Linked DNA regions of Macaca mulatta. The protein of the gene in region 2 purifies or fractionates together with the protein of the main gene of each other region. This does not show direct contact. Links are inferred from orthologs where the notes say so. Each region holds a gene or a part of one and is shown on either strand. Other genes may lie near its edges.

Region 1 (5,077 bases), on a different chromosome or scaffold from region 2:
CAAGGGGCGAGAGGTTCTACATTTCTAACAAGCTCCTGAGAATGCGTAGGCTGCTGGTCCACTGCACTCTTGTTGCAATGGACCAGCAGCGTTAACCACAGGGAAAGCCAAGATTTAATGTCAGACTTTCATGCTTAGTTACATGTGTGTTCGCATTTCTAGAGCAGTGGTTCTCAACTAGGAAAGAGTTTATTGCCCAGGGCAAAAATGGTAATTCCTAAAGATGCTTTTTGGTCTCCTTCAGCCTCATCTCCTAGGGCACAATAAAGTCTAACAGAGTAGGGATGTGGTAATATGAGGGCTAAGCTGGTGAAATCACCTTGTCACTCAAAGCCACATTTCCCTTCCACCACCTGTGCCAAAATGTGCTCAAGCACCACGTCCTCTGCGAAACCCTTCCATGCAGACATCACCAGCCTTACGTCCCTTGCTCCTTTCTCCAGGGTGCTCCAGGCCCCTCCCTGCATCAGTTAGAATTCGGGTCACCTTCAAGTGATGAAACCCCAAATGAACAGGCACTTAACCAGTTGAATTCTCCCAGGTGACAATACTGGCGTGGCTCTTCACAGCCTCAGGGAGCCAGGCTCCTCCCATCTTGTCCTGTCTTCCTTGACCTTCACTCCTAAGATCATTTTCTGGCCCAAGGTGGCAGCTTCTACTCTAGCCATCTGGTCCACATTCCAGAGTGCAGGAGTGCAGGAAGGAGGAAAGGTGGGGGATCATGCCTTCACCCTTAAGAACACTTCCTAGAAGCTGCACATACCACTTTTGTTCAACATCTTTTTGACTAGAATTTGGTCACAGTACCACACCTAATCTCAAGAGACACTAGGAAAATACCTGGAATGCATATAGTCATGTGCCCAGCTAAAAATCAGAGCTTCTATATTAGGAAGGGGAGAATAGATACTGAGAGACAACTGGTCTATCTTGCCATAGTTCTCTCTCTAGTACAATCCTGATAGACCTCCTGGGGACAGGGTCAGAGCCCAAGTCTTCTTCAAGAACACAGGAAATGGCCCACAGGGGGTTCTCTGGCAATGTACAGCTAACTCTGCTTCCCATGTTGTGTACTTCTCATGTTGAAACTGTTACACACTTACCAGGTACTAATTCACTTGGTCCTCGCCACCCACCCTGCAATCTAGGTACTAATGTCACTCTCATTTTACACAATACAAAACTGAGCTCATAAAGACTTAACAAGCTACTCCTAGTCACACGTCTATTAACTGAAGGAGCCAAAATTTGGACCCAGGTAGTCTGGTTCCAAGGCACCTGCTCTTAACCCCCAAAATACTCGGCCAACATCTATGAAACTGAACTGCACTACAGGACAGCAGCCAGAGCACCTCGTGGACCCTCTGCTCCACAGGCCAGCAGCACTCCTGGGGGGATCCCCAGAGAATTCTCTTGGGACATAGGGGTATAATGGGTCCTGTAACAAGATCTTCTCCAGAGAAAAGGGCAGATGTTATGACTCTGGGGTGGTGTCCCCTCCTCCATGCTGATGACTAAGGCCAGAGGACTGACTACTTCTAGACCTTTATTTCTCTGTGAAAAGGGGGAAAATAAAAGGAATAAAATAAAAATGGCACAGTTGACACACACAAAAAAAACCAATGAGGGGAAGGACGGGAGGTGGAGAAGTAAATGGGGGAGGGGTTCCCATTACAGCAGCAGGATCCAGTGACCCGGGATGCTCACATCTCTCCCCGACGTGGGCAGAGTAGCCCCTTTCTCCCAGGGTCGCTGTCCTGTCCAACCCCGTGCTCCCCCAGCCCACTGGGAAGTGGACAGTGAGACATCTTCCCAGGCTGGGGAGAGGAGGAACCGTACTGGGGGAAGGGGCCTGGGGTCAGACCATGCACAGGGAGTGACAGCCAAAGGCCCCCCAGTGTCTCTCCAAAGAGGGACTTGTGGGGGTTGGAGGTGGACACTAGAGGCCAGTGTTTGCTCCTCTTCCAGCATCAGGCGAGAGACAGAACTAGGAAAACAGGAACAGGCAAGAATCAGAACCACAGCCCTCTCTCTGCCCACAATGCCATGGTACCTCCCCCTCCCAGAAGCTGCGACCTTGTTCTCAAAGGACAGCCTAGCACCTGTCCTCAAAAGTCCACCCTCCTGCTAGGGCTCCCTGCTTTCTAGGTCTTACCAGTCAGAGCCTCCTGGGCAAAGTATTTGACGTCCACATCCTGGTCCTGGGTCAGCTTCTCTAGGATGGGCTTGACTTCACTCTGCAGGGTGCTGGAAAGCGAAAAGGAGACAGGGAAAGGGAGCGTACTGGGGCAACAGGTGGGCACAGGGCTCTTGAGCAAGAGGGTATACACAGACATGGATACACCAAACCCAAGGTGGGAGGAGTCTCAAGAATCCAGGACATACACAGGAATGAGAAATCTCCGCTCAATGCACAGGAAGGTGACCATAGTTAACAATAATATTTTGCATATTTCAAAACAGCTATAAGAGAAGATTTTGAATGTTCTCATTACAAAGAAATGGTAAACATTTAAGGTGATAGATATGCTAATTATCCTAATTTGATCATTACACATTTGCACACATTATCAAAACACTACTATACCCCCATAAATATGTATAATTATGTGTATATTAAAAGTAAAATCAGGCCTGGCATGGTGGCTCACATCTGTAATCCCAGCACTTTGGGAGCCCAAGGTGGGTGGATCATCTGAGGTCGGGAGTTTGAGACCAGCCTGGCCAACATGGAAAAACCCTGTCTCTACTAAAAATACAAAATTAGTAGGGTGTGGTGGTGCACGCCTGTGATCCTAGCTACTTGGGAGACTGAGGCAGGAGAATTGCTGGAACCTGGGAGGTGGAGGTTGTGGTGAGCCAAGATTGCGTCATTGCATTCCAACCTGGGCAACAAGAGTGAAACTCCGTCTCAAAAAAAAAAAAAAAAAAAGTAAAATCAAGGCCAGGCGCGGTGGCTCATGCCTGCAATCCTAGCACTTTGGGAGGCCAAGGTGGGCAGACCACTTGAGGCCAGGAGTTCAAGACCAGCCTAGACAACATGGCAAAACCCCCGTCTCTACTGAAAGTACAAAAATTAGCCAAGCATGGTGGTGCACACCTGTAATCCCAGCAACTTAAGAGGCTGAGACACAAAAACTGCCTGAACCCAGGAGGCAGACGTTGCAGTGAGCCGAGATTGCACCACTGCACTCCAGCCTGGGCGACAGAGCGAGATTCTGTCTCAAAGGAAAACCAAACAAACTGCAAAAAAACCAACCAACCAACCAACCAATTACTTTAAAAGTCAGAAGTATGACAAACAACAACAGACTTCTCTGGGGCCCCAAACAGGGAGATCAGAGCAGGCTGGGAAAGTAGAACAGAATCACAGAACTCCCAAGTCTCTGAGGCCCAACAAATGGGTATCTTTCATTGATTTCACACATATTCACTGAGGCCTACAATGTATATGGAATGAATACGGAGCTAAATCACTCTTGTTTCTTGCCATGAGGCATCCGGGCCAGGAGCAAGACAGAGACCAAACTGCTACGTAAGAAGGGAGTGGTAAGTGGTCCCAAGGGAAAGTTCCTGGTCCTCCAGGAGCCCAGAGGAGGCAACCACTCTCATCTATGGGGCCCAGGGAACTCCGCCTGCACCGAGTCAATTGTTTTGGGAAATGGAGGAGGACTTCGGAGAGAAACTAAAGCTGAGGTTGTGTCCTGGAACAGATTCAGACAGAAATCAAAAGTGCAGGCTTTGTGGGTCCCCCACTTTCACTTGACAGCTCCCTGTTCTCCCCAAATAACCACTATTCTTACTTCCATCATCTCGATTCTTTCATTCTGCCTGTTTCTGAACTTGACATAAATGGTGTGTTTTCTTGAGTTTGGCTCCTCACTCAACATGGTATCTGTGAGAGCCACCTGTGTTGCCGCCTACAGCAGGCATTTGATTTTTCACTGCTGAATAGTTTTCCACTGTATGAATGAACTAAAATTTATCTGCTCTACTGTGGGCAGACATGGAGGTTTTTTCTGTTTTTATGGCTACTATGAATAAAGCTACCATGAACATTCTTCGGACAGAAACAGCACTCATTTCTCCTGGATAGAGACCCAGGAGTGGAAGGGCTGTTTCACAGGGTGTTTGTATAACAAGCTTCACCAAATTCCACTCCAGTTCCACTCCCGTTTTCAGAGTGATCAAACCCTAAATACACAGCCTCACGTGCAACGGATGAGAGTTCCAGCTCTATGTCTTCAACATTTGCACCATTGAGTCTTTTTTAATATTGGCTGTTCTGGGAGGTGTGTAGTGATATGTCACTGAGCTTTAATTTGCACTTTCCTGAAGGCTGATGATGCTGAACACCTTGTCATATGCTTACAAGCTATGTGGAGATCCTTTTTCAAGTGCCCATTCAAGTCTTTTTTCCCATCTCTTTCTTGCCCTGCCTGATTTGTAGACAAGTATTGTGGATGAGTCCTTTCTCAGAAACATACATTGCAGACATCTTCCTCCAGTCAAGGGCTTGCATTTTACTCTCAAAATGCTGTCTTTTGAGAAATAGTGCTACATTTTACAGAAGGTCAACTTACCCATCAATTCCTCTGGTTTGCTGTGCCTACGCTAACTCATGAAGATATTTTCCTACATTTTCTTCTAGATGTTTTATTTTTTAAATCTTTCTGGTTCTGGTCTGTCATCTCAAATTAATTTGTTTATGCATTGAGGCGAGGCTTCTTTTTTTTTTTTTTTTTTTTTTGAGACAGAGTCTGGCTCTGTCACCCAGGCTGGAGTGCAGTGGCCGGATCTCGGCTCACTGCAAGCTCCGCCTCTCGGGTTTACGCCATTCTCCTGCTTCAGCCTCCCGAGTAGCTGGGACTACAGGCGCCCGCCAGAGGCGAGGCTTCTTTTATTCCTACATGGATATCAAATTGACCCAGCTATGTTTTTTAAAAAATATATATTTCTCCACTGAACTACAGAGGTGCCTGCTGTTAAACACACGTGGGACTGTTTCCGTGCCCTTGATTCCATCCTATTGGGCGATTTAAATATTCTTGTATTCACATCTATTTTAATTACTGTG
Region 2 (5,121 bases):
ATATCAGGAGGCAGCTCATGCTAGAAAGAACACATAGGCTTTGTAAACAGACAGGCCCTGCCTTGCCCCTTTCTGGCTGTGTAACCAGTAGTGACCCTCTGAATTGCTGGTTCCTCATTTTAACATGATGCCTACATTAATTATTCTGAGGACAAAAATGAGATTAATGTATGTGGAATATTGTAAAAGAACCCGTAAAAGGTGTGCTATGATGCATCTTGGAAATCTACCTAAGGCTTTTTTGTCTACCCATCAGCACTGAAAATCAGAGTCAAAGACATTCTTCATTTTAAAAAGGTGTTTTAAAGTCAAATTCCTTTTAGATTAAAAAAAAAAAGAAGAAGAGAACCACCAGCTGACACTATAGCATTTATGCTCAAAATTTTCAGACTCTTAGCCTTGAGAGTGATGAGTTTTTGATGTTTTTGAAAAAGACATGATTATCATCTGTTTCCAAGGTTTTTATCCACTAGAAGGGAGAATAGTCACAGTTGCCTATTCAATGTACCAGGAATCAGTCACCAAAATAGCCAAAGACATATGCTCACCAGGTGATATAGGCCTGCTTGAACTCGGAGAAGGCGTGTAAGGGATCGGGCTGGACACAGTGCGAGGTCTTAATCCTTGTGCTGACATCTCATTAAAATACCTAAGAGGAGAGAGGAGGAAATGATAAAACCCCCTGTATTTAAATAGTCCTTAAGAAAGTTTTTAGGAGAAAATGTTTGGGGTTCACACCTTGAGGTCAAAATCCTGAATGTTTAGATTGATGTTATAGTTAGAAGGCAATTATACAATGGACTCCTGAGTGACACCACTCTGCTGTTTGACAAACCTCACTCAAGGGGTACCGGTTGGGAGATCTAGGATGTTTTAGCTCAGGATAGAAGCCAGGTGAAAGAGGTGCACCATACCACAGAGAGGACCAGTTTTTCCTCCACCACACAACAGCTATGCTGGAATTCACCTCCACTGTCCCAAGAGTTACAAAGATATTCACGTGTTAGTGCCTACATTTACATTGTTATTTGAAACTCAAAACCAAGCAAGCCCTCTGAGATTTATGTCATAAAATTAAAGCCTACAGATACTTATTCCTGTGAACTGAGTATCAACTGTTTACAAGCAAGTCCTGCTTAACAGACAGACAGTCACACACTAGGATTTAATGAGACTTGAGTACTGAACACCTACAGCAGGTCATGCTTAGCCACACCATGCTGAGTCTGCCTTTTTCCTGGATTCAGAAGTCACATCAGACCCGAAAATGCTGAAGTGTGATCATCAGGAACATCAGCTTACGCTCTGTGAAACGAGCACGGAGCGCTGACGAGGAGAAATTTCTGCTTGAGAGACTTCCTGATAAACCATCCTGCGCGAGCAACCCACCCTAGTGGCAACAGGTGGAACTTCTTGTACTCTACACATCCACTAGTAGACAAGAGGCATCTTGTGGTCTCTTAAGTGCTGGACCATTTTCCTTCTCCCAAATGTAGTATCATTGTTCCTAGTAGGGGAAGTATTTATTGGGCAGCTGTGGATAATCTGACCTACAAAAGGTAGGGCAAACTTTCTGAAATGAATACCGGTTCTGGAAAAAAATATTTATCTGGAAGGCTGAAACTGCTTCACTAGTGACACTGCAGTCAGAAGACATTATTTCCTCAGAGTGTATCTTACCCCAAACTGGGTCCCAGATGCTATATATGATCTGTATCTGAAGGTAGTTAATAAGCTATTTAGTATTCTAGCTGGCAGTTTTAGTCAAATAGTTCTTAAGGGATATAGATTTTAGAAAGAATAGGGAACTGTAGTTTTATAAGGCAAAGTTTTGAGAAAGAATAATCTTTTATTATTTCCCAATGAAGAGGTATATACATAGGTATTTAAAATAGGATAACCTGTTATTGTTTTCCTTTTTTTCTCATTATAAAAATATAGACTTTCATTACAGATAATCTTAAATTTTTCTTTAAACAATAATGTCACTGTCCACAGCAAACTGATCAACAGCGTTGTTAGTCCTCTAAATATATTCCATAACAGAAACAGAATGCGGATGTGCTAACATTGTCTGTATGTTTCAGACAGCTTGTATTGGCATCAACAGACAGTACTACTTGTCACAGCCATGAGTAGCCCTGGTTTCAGACACCGAATGCCCAGTCCTGCTGGAGGGACCCCCAAGAATACTCAGTCTTACCTCTCACACTAAGATATGGCCCATGTAATGCCAGGACATCCCTGATCCAGAAGAGATAATTTCCTTGCAGAAATGTAATTCTCTAACTTCTGGGTTTCTCCACAGATTAAACATTTTTTTCCAATTATATTTGTTTGTTTTCTTTTTTTTTTTTTTTTTTTTTTTTTTTTGAGACAGAGTCTCGCTCTGTCACCCGAGCTGGAGTACAGTGGCCGGATCTCAGCTCACTGCAAGCTCCGCCTCCCGGGTTTACGCCATTCTCCTGCCTCAGCCTCCCAAGTAGCTGGGACTACAGGCGCCCGCCACCTCGCCCAGCTAGTTTTTTGTATTTTTTAGTAGAGACGGGGTTTCACCGTGTTAGCCAGGATGGTCTCGATCTCCTGACCTCGTGATCCGCCCGTCTCGGCCTCCCAAAGTGCTGGGATTACAGGCTTGAGCCACCGCGCCCGGCTTATATTTGTTTGTTTTCTTACCACTACCTTATCCCAAGTTTAGAGAGGAGGAAGAGGGAGGAGAACTGGATGAGGCACAAACACTTGAGACCATTTCTGCTACTTAACCAAAGGATGGGTCTCTCATTCCAGATCACTCACAGTGGGGCAATGAGGGGATTCACTGCTTAGGTTTGAACAGATGAATACAATCCATTAGTTTTATTTTTTTTTTAAGTGGCTACAAAACGGCTCAAAAGTTATCAAGTGTGTTAAGACAAGTCCTGGGGATTTCAACAACCTCCACCTGTGTCCCTGCTGATTCTTTTCAACCTATAAATGCACTGTTTTCCTCGAGCTGCACTATAGCTTGCTTTATCCTTGTACAGTACAGGAATTAATATGTGCCCATGCTTTAAACAGATATAACACTGGATTAAACTAATTCAACAACAAAGGCAAACTCTGCTCCTTCTCTAATATAACGCTGTCTCCATTTCTCTCCCCACCAAATAATTTTAGAGGTGATTTTTTTCATCTTCTTGTGTTTAAGGAAAATGTTCAATCTTTATCCCATTCTCAGCATCTGTTATAATGCAGTGGCATTCATTAGCACAATAAATACATATTTAAGCTATCCCCTTATACACCTAACAGGATACCAAAGAAAACCCCTGTAGAACCTGGGTTTTATTTTTTAAACAAAAACAAGGCTCATAGGACATGCACACACCTTTCGTCATCCATTTCTAAGCTGGACTCACTCTCGGAGAGCTGTCGACAGAGGGCTTCTCTTCTCTCCATCTCCCTCTGCAGCTTCCTCTGCAGCCTCAAGTTCTCTTCCCTCATGTGACGTTCCTCCTCCAGATACTGTGCCATTTTCTCTGAATCTGAAAAGTCAGAGTTTTCAATTAAACCATGTTTCATGCAATCATATCCAAATCTGAAAAAAGGAGACTTCAGTTCAGCCCCTATGCCACAGACAGAGTGAATTGTTACAAGATGGTCTTTCTGGTCGGATATGGTGGTTCACATTTGTAATCCTGGCACTTGGGGAGGCTGAGGAAGGTGGATCGCCTGATGTCAGGAGTTCGACACCAGCCTGGCTAACATGGTGAAACTCAGTCTCAACTAAAAATACAAAAATTAGCCGGACGTGGTGGCAGGCACCTGTAATCCCACTGGGAGGCTGAGGCAGGAAAACTCCTTGAACTCGGGAGGTGGAGGTTGCAGTGAGCCAATACTGAGCCACTGCACTTCAGCCTGGGCAATATAGCAAGACTCTGTCTCAAAAAACAAAGAAACAAAAAAGATGGTCTTTCTCATTCTCTTGCACATAGATGAGATATGGATTTAAAGTTTATCTCAAGTATAAAAGTTTACCAATGATTTGCATTTAGAAAAAAATATAAAAGGCAGTGTTGGCAGGTTAGGCATTGTCAGTCCCCCTCATTTGCTTTCTAAAGTGCTTTAAGTAGACGAGGAAATGGTGGAATTGTAGCTGAGTCTACAAGTAGCCACTACCAGAGCTCTTCTCTACATTGCTGGAGCTGGGAAAGGAGGGAGGCCCAGATTCTGCCCACGGGCAGACCTCAATTTGGCTGCCTCTCAACTCCAGACACAGCGAGCCGTCTAGGGGAACCTGTGACACCTGCTGGCATCCCCGCTGTGCACAGCGGTGGTGGCACACCAAGAACCACTGTACTAGAACACATGTGATAACAGTTAACATTCTTTTCATGAGAATAGACATTGACATAGTAAACCAGAAAACTTTAGATTAATATTTCCAAGTCTAATTTGTGGTATGTGTGTGGCTGTCTGTCACCCTGTCTCACGCACATGCTACGACAGAGGGCAGGTGAAGACCTGTATATAGCTGGCACCTCTTGGGATGGCATCTTGCTTATGACAAATACCCTTTCCTCAGGAGCTCTCCCACAAATCCAGGTCTCTGCTACAGCACCCATCTCCCAGGACAGAGCTGACTAGCTCCCGGACTAGATGTTGGACCCAGGCTGAGCCACTTAGACCACCTCTCCCAGGAATCTGAAATGGGGAACTGACATCTTTACGGGGATCCATCTTTAGCTCCTCCAGCTAAGTTCCCTGGAGCCATCAAAACTCTTGTCCTTCTGAGGTTATTCTTCACAAGATTCTGTGCCATACTCCGCAACCTTCCAAAAAAAGAAAAACACGTCTTCCTTCCTCTTTTGACAACCTCCCCGCCGCCCCCATTCCTTTCTGGTTTATCTCACGCAGAATCTGCTACCAAGTAACCGGAATTATCTAATACAAAATGTGGTGTCTACCCATCTTCTTGCTTCATTTCTTTTCCTTGTCTTTGTCAATGAACTTGGGAAAAGTAAAATCTCCATATACTTATCTTTTCTGAAAAGCAGTTACAAATTCAGAGTGGCCATAAGCACATCTAAGAGAGTTTCCTGTAGGCTGCTGTTCCATATTGTCAGTTCGGTCCAAATTTAG
Region 3 (5,121 bases), on a different chromosome or scaffold from region 2:
ATTCATGTCAATTTATGGGGCTTAATTTCTGTCTCATGAGTTAGTACCATAGAGTCTTTTAATCTCTTCAGAATTTCCATTACCTGGGGTCCCATACCTCTTGTCTGGCTGTTCCCATTAATGTGCTTTTTTTGGACCTCAAAGATGTCATGTCAGATGGTTGATGGAAGGATGAGATTAAAACACACCACAAGACCCTATGCATATATAAATCTGAACTCATAAAATACTATGAATTAGTGGGTGATTATTAAAAGTACAAAAAATTATTAAAGAAATGAAAAGTATAATCCTATTTTAGTGTAACTTTCCCTGGTATGTTTATGAAGTGCATGTGGGGAGTCTTATAAAGTTTAAAGATAAATTTTAGGAACCAAAAGCAATTGTACATTAAGAAGGATTCTTATTAGGCATATCAAAAATTCTGTGATGTGCAGATCTGCTTGTTAAACCTCAAATTCCCCTTTCTAAAATAGGATAGGGAAAGGAAAAAAGTAATCATGCAAATAGCTTTTCATCCTCACCATTTTAAAAAGTAGTAGCGGTAAAATACATTATTGACTCATTTAATAGAATGGAATTGTTGGATTACAAGTCTGCATTTACCTTCCTGAGGAACTGCCAAGTACTTTCCAAAGCAGCTACACCATTTTACATTCCCACCAGTAATGTATGACATTACCAGTTTCCCCACATCAACCCAGCACTTGTTTATTATTCATCTTTTTGATTATAGCCACCCTAGTGGGTGTGAAATGGGTGTCTCTTTGTGGTTTTGATTTGCATTTCTGTAATAGATAATAATGTTGAGCATCTTTTCATATGCTTATTGGCCATTTGTGTATCTTCTTTGTGGTGAAATACCTATTGAAATATATGTAATGTAAACCTTACCATTTTAACAATTTTAAGTGTACAGTTTATTGGCATTAAGTACACTCACAATGTTACATTACCTTCAAGATCATCCATCTGCAGAACTTTTCATCTACCCAAACTGAAACATTGTACACATTAGAGAGTAAGTCCCTGCACCTTCCTCCCCACAGTGTCAGACGACTGTCTCTAAATTTGACTATTCTTGATACCTCGTATAAGTAGAATCATACAATAGTCGTTCTTTTTGTGTCTGGCTTATTTCACTTTGCATAATGCCATCAAGCTTCATCCATGTCGTACCACGTTGGAATTTATTTCAGATTAAAGACTGTGTGTGTGTGTGTGTGTGTGTGTGTATCTCACATTTTGCTTATCCATTCATGTGCTCATAGCACATTTGGGTTGTTGGGTTTTGGGGATCTACTGAGAAATGGGATTCCTGAATCATAGGGTGGTTTCATAATTTTTTTTTTTTTTTGAGGAACCAAACTGCTTTCCACAGTGACTGCCTCGTTCCCACCAGCCATGCACAAGAGTTTCAGTTTCTTGGCCAGGCGCAGTGACTCATGCCCTTCGGGAGGCCGAGGCGGGGTGATCACGAGGTCAGGAGTTCGAGACCAGTGTGGCCAACATGGTGAAACCTTGTCTCTACTAAAAATACAAAAAAATGGCCGGGCGCGGTGGCTCAAGCCTGTAATCCCAGCACTTTCGGAGGCCGAGACGGGCGGATCACGAGGTCAGAAGTTTGAGACCATCCCGGCTAACACAGTGAAACCCCGTCTCTACTAAAAAATACAAAAAAAAAACAAAAAACAAAAAAACAAAGAAACTAGCCGGACGAGGTGGCGGGCGCCTGTAGTCCCAGCTACTCGGGAGGCTGCGGCAGGAGAATGGCGTAAACTTAGGAGGCGGAGCTTGCAGTGAGCTGGGATCCCGCCACTGGACTCCAGCCTGGGCCACTGGACTCCAGCCTGGGCGACAGAGCGAGACTCCGTCTCAAAAAAAAAAACAAAAACAAAAAACAAAAAAATTAGCTGGACGTAGTGGCAGGCGCTTGTATTCCTACCTATTTGGGAGGCTGAAGCAGGAGAATTACTTGAACCCCGGAGGCAGAGGTTGCAGTGAGCCGAGATTGCACCACTACACTCCAGCCCTGGCAACAGAGTGAGACTCTTGTCTCAAAAAAAAAAAAAAAAGTTTCAGTTTCTCTACATCCTTGGCCAGCCAATACTTGTTCACTTGTTTTTTGGATAATAGCCAACCCTAATGGGTATAAAGTGGTATCTCATTGTGATTTGGATTTACATTTCCCCAAGATTAATGGTGTTAAGCAGCATCTTGTGTGTTTGCTGACCATTTGTATATCTTCTTTGGAGAAGTACGTATTTAAGTACTTTGCCCATTTTTAAATTGGGTTTTCTTTTTTGTTGAGTTGTAGGAGTTCTTTATATATTCTGGATATTAACTCCTTATCAGATAAAAGATTTGCGAATATTTTCTCCCATTTCACGATTTGACTTTTTACTCTGTCGATAGTATCCTTTGATGCACAATTATTATTATTATTTTTTTGAGACAGAGTCTCGCTCTGTCACCCAGTCTGGAGTGCAGTTGCGTGATCTCAGCTCACTGCGAGCTCCGCCTCCCGGGTTCATGCCATTCTCCTGCCTCAGCCTCCTGAGTAGCTGGGACTACAGGTGCCCGCCACCACGCCTGGCTAATTTTTGGTATATTTAGTAGAGACGGGGTTTCACCATGTTAGCCAGGGTGGTCTCGATCTCCTGACCTTGTGATTCACCCGCCTTGGCCTCCCAAAGTGCTGGGATTACAAGCGTGAGCCACTGCGCCTGGCTGATGCACAGATATAATTCAGTTTATCTATTTTGTTGCTTGTGCTTTTGGTATCACACAGTATCTTTATTTAAGAGACAGGGTCTTGGTCTGTCGCTCAGGCTGGAGTGCAGTGGTGTGATCTTGGCTTACTGCAGCCTCCACGTCCTGGGCTCAAGCAATCCTGTTGCCTCAGCCTCCTGAGTAGCTGGGACTAGAGGTGCATATCACCATGCCTAATTTAAATTAATTAGTAATTAATTATTTTGTAGAGATGGGATATTGCTGTTTGCCCAGGCTGGCTTCTATAGAAGTTCCTGGGCCCAAGTGATCTTTCTGTCTCAGCTTCCTAAAGTGCTGGGATTACAGGCATGAGCCACCACACCTGGCCCCATATAATATTTTTACGTGGACACTGGTTGCCTTCAGAATATTTTGGGAATATATCAGGAAGTTTTCGAGCTCTCAGTGAAGAATAAAAATTTTCCAGACTTTCAGTTTTTTGCTTAGAAGTTCAAATTTTTATCATTAGTAACAAATATTATCAGTTATTTATCTTACAGTGACAGGTTCACTTTATTTATTTTTGAGAAAATGCCTACCACATTCTCCTTTTTTTTTTTTTTTCTGAAATGGAGTCTTGCTCATCGCCCAGGCTGGAGTGCAGTAGTGCGATCCTCAGCTCACTACAACCTCCACCTCCTCAGTTCAAGCGATTCTCCTTGCCTCAGCCTCCTGTGTAGCTGGGATTACAGGCATGCACCACCATACCTGGCTGATTTTTGTATTTTTAGTAAAGACAGGGTTTCACCCTGTTGGCCAGGCTGATCTCGAACTCCTGACCTCAAGTGATCCACCTGCTGAGATTACAGGTGTGAGCCATCACACCCAGTCTGCTAATGTAAATAAGCTTTATTTGTGTGGCAGACCTTTCAGGTAAAAATGCTGTTTTATGAAAAATAGCTAGTTCAGCTGGTAACAGTCTAAAGGTATTGTTCTTTGAGAATGCCATACCTCTTTGATATGCAGCATAATTTTTTAATGTATATTTCTCATTTTTGTTACACAGAATATTTAAAAGATGTATTCAGGGGTTGGGATTTAATGAAATTAGTAATTTTTATATCTTTTATGCATGCTCCTGAATGACGGTATTCTCATTACTAATTATTCACATATTCTGTTAGTGTTAGTGTCATAGTATATTCTGTATTTGTGTTTTGTGTTCAAGAATTGTAAAACTCATGGTATTACGTATTTTTTAATTTTTTGCTTATAGGATTCAGTGGTCCCAATTTAAAGGCTATTTTATTTTCAAACTGGAGAAAGTGATGGATGATTTCAGAACTTCAGCTCCTGAGCCAAGAGGTCCTCCCAACCCTAATGTCGAATATATTCCCTTTGATGAAATGAAGGAAAGAATACTGAAAATTGTCACTGGATTTAATGGGTATGCACTTAATACTGTTTTAAAGATTTAACTTTTAGCAGAAGATTATAGATTTTTCTTTTAGTTTTGATGTGTCTGGTTGATGATTGATTATCCATTAGAATAAATTATTTGTTTCTAGTGACATGTACTTGATGAGTTTTAGCTTACAACTATTTAAAATATTTACAGCCTTTTAAAAAACTTGAACCACCTTTTTATAGGTATCAATGGAAACATTCATTTATCAGGAAACATTTTAATGGTTTTTCTTTCCTGTTTTATATTTGGTGTTATGTCTTCATACTTTATACAGAACCTTTATATCATTGAGAAATCACATTTCTTTTAAAATGAAGTACTAATTTATGAAAGTATTGTAGTGAGTTTTTGTTTAGACTTTTGGATCCTCATTTCTCTCCCAAGTAACCTCTTGCTTGTTAGTTACAAGTAACCATTTTTGGGCCCTTGTAAAACATTAAAAACACCAAAAAGATATTCTGTACAAAAGTAAAACTCCCTTTGTTCGTTTTGTTTTGTTTTTGAGACAAGTGTCTCGCTCTGTCGCCTAGACTGGAATGCAGTGGCGCGATCTTGGCTCACTGCAACCTCTGTCTCCCGGGTTCAAGCAGTTTTCCTGCCTCAGCTTTCTGAGTAACTGCCACCACACCCGGCTAATTTTTTGTATTTTTAGTAGAGATGGGGTTTCACCATGTTAGCCAGGATGGTCTCGATTTCCTGACCTCATGTTCCGCCCACCTCGGCCTCCCAAAGTGCTGGGTTTACAGGCATGAGCCACCGAGCCCAGCAGTACTCATTTTTAAAGAAATGTTACTGTGTCTCATATTCTGTCATTTTAAATTCTTTGTTTTTAGGACTTTTTTTTGGTTTTGTTTTTTGTTTTGTTTTGTTTTGTTTGGAGACGGAGTCTCGCTGTCGCCCAGGGTGGAGTGCAGTGGCATGATCTCAGCCCACTGCAACCT

Evidence for each region. The genes of interacting proteins can lie anywhere in the genome.
Region 1: the proteins of CCDC6 (region 2) and PPP2R1A purify together in Homo sapiens (affinity purification with mass spectrometry; 5 studies listed by BioGRID and IntAct, with this or other methods). This does not show direct contact. The link is inferred for Macaca mulatta from reciprocal best matches to the Homo sapiens genes CCDC6 and PPP2R1A.
Region 3: the proteins of CCDC6 (region 2) and PPP4R2 purify together in Homo sapiens (co-immunoprecipitation; 3 studies listed by BioGRID and IntAct, counting the BioPlex papers as one, with this or other methods). This does not show direct contact. The link is inferred for Macaca mulatta from reciprocal best matches to the Homo sapiens genes CCDC6 and PPP4R2.

What each region holds. Positions count from the first base shown.
Region 1 is NC_133424.1:64,419,702-64,424,778, reverse strand, and holds the end of PPP2R1A (serine/threonine-protein phosphatase 2A 65 kDa regulatory subunit A alpha isoform), read right to left. Parts: intron 2,248-5,077; coding exon 2,156-2,247; intron 1,988-2,155; coding exon 1,971-1,987; 3' UTR 1,530-1,970; downstream 1-1,529. UniProt on the Homo sapiens protein: The PR65 subunit of protein phosphatase 2A serves as a scaffolding molecule to coordinate the assembly of the catalytic subunit and a variable regulatory B subunit.
Region 2 is NC_133414.1:90,019,825-90,024,945, reverse strand, and holds part of CCDC6 (coiled-coil domain-containing protein 6), read right to left. Parts: intron 3,525-5,121; coding exon 3,368-3,524; intron 650-3,367; coding exon 549-649; intron 1-548.
Region 3 is NC_133407.1:136,534,756-136,539,876, forward strand, and holds part of PPP4R2 (serine/threonine-protein phosphatase 4 regulatory subunit 2), read left to right. Parts: intron 1-1,360; exon of another isoform or gene 1,361-1,404; coding exon of another isoform or gene 1,405-1,481; intron 1,482-3,988; coding exon 3,989-4,159; intron 4,160-5,121. UniProt on the Homo sapiens protein: Regulatory subunit of serine/threonine-protein phosphatase 4 (PP4). May regulate the activity of PPP4C at centrosomal microtubule organizing centers.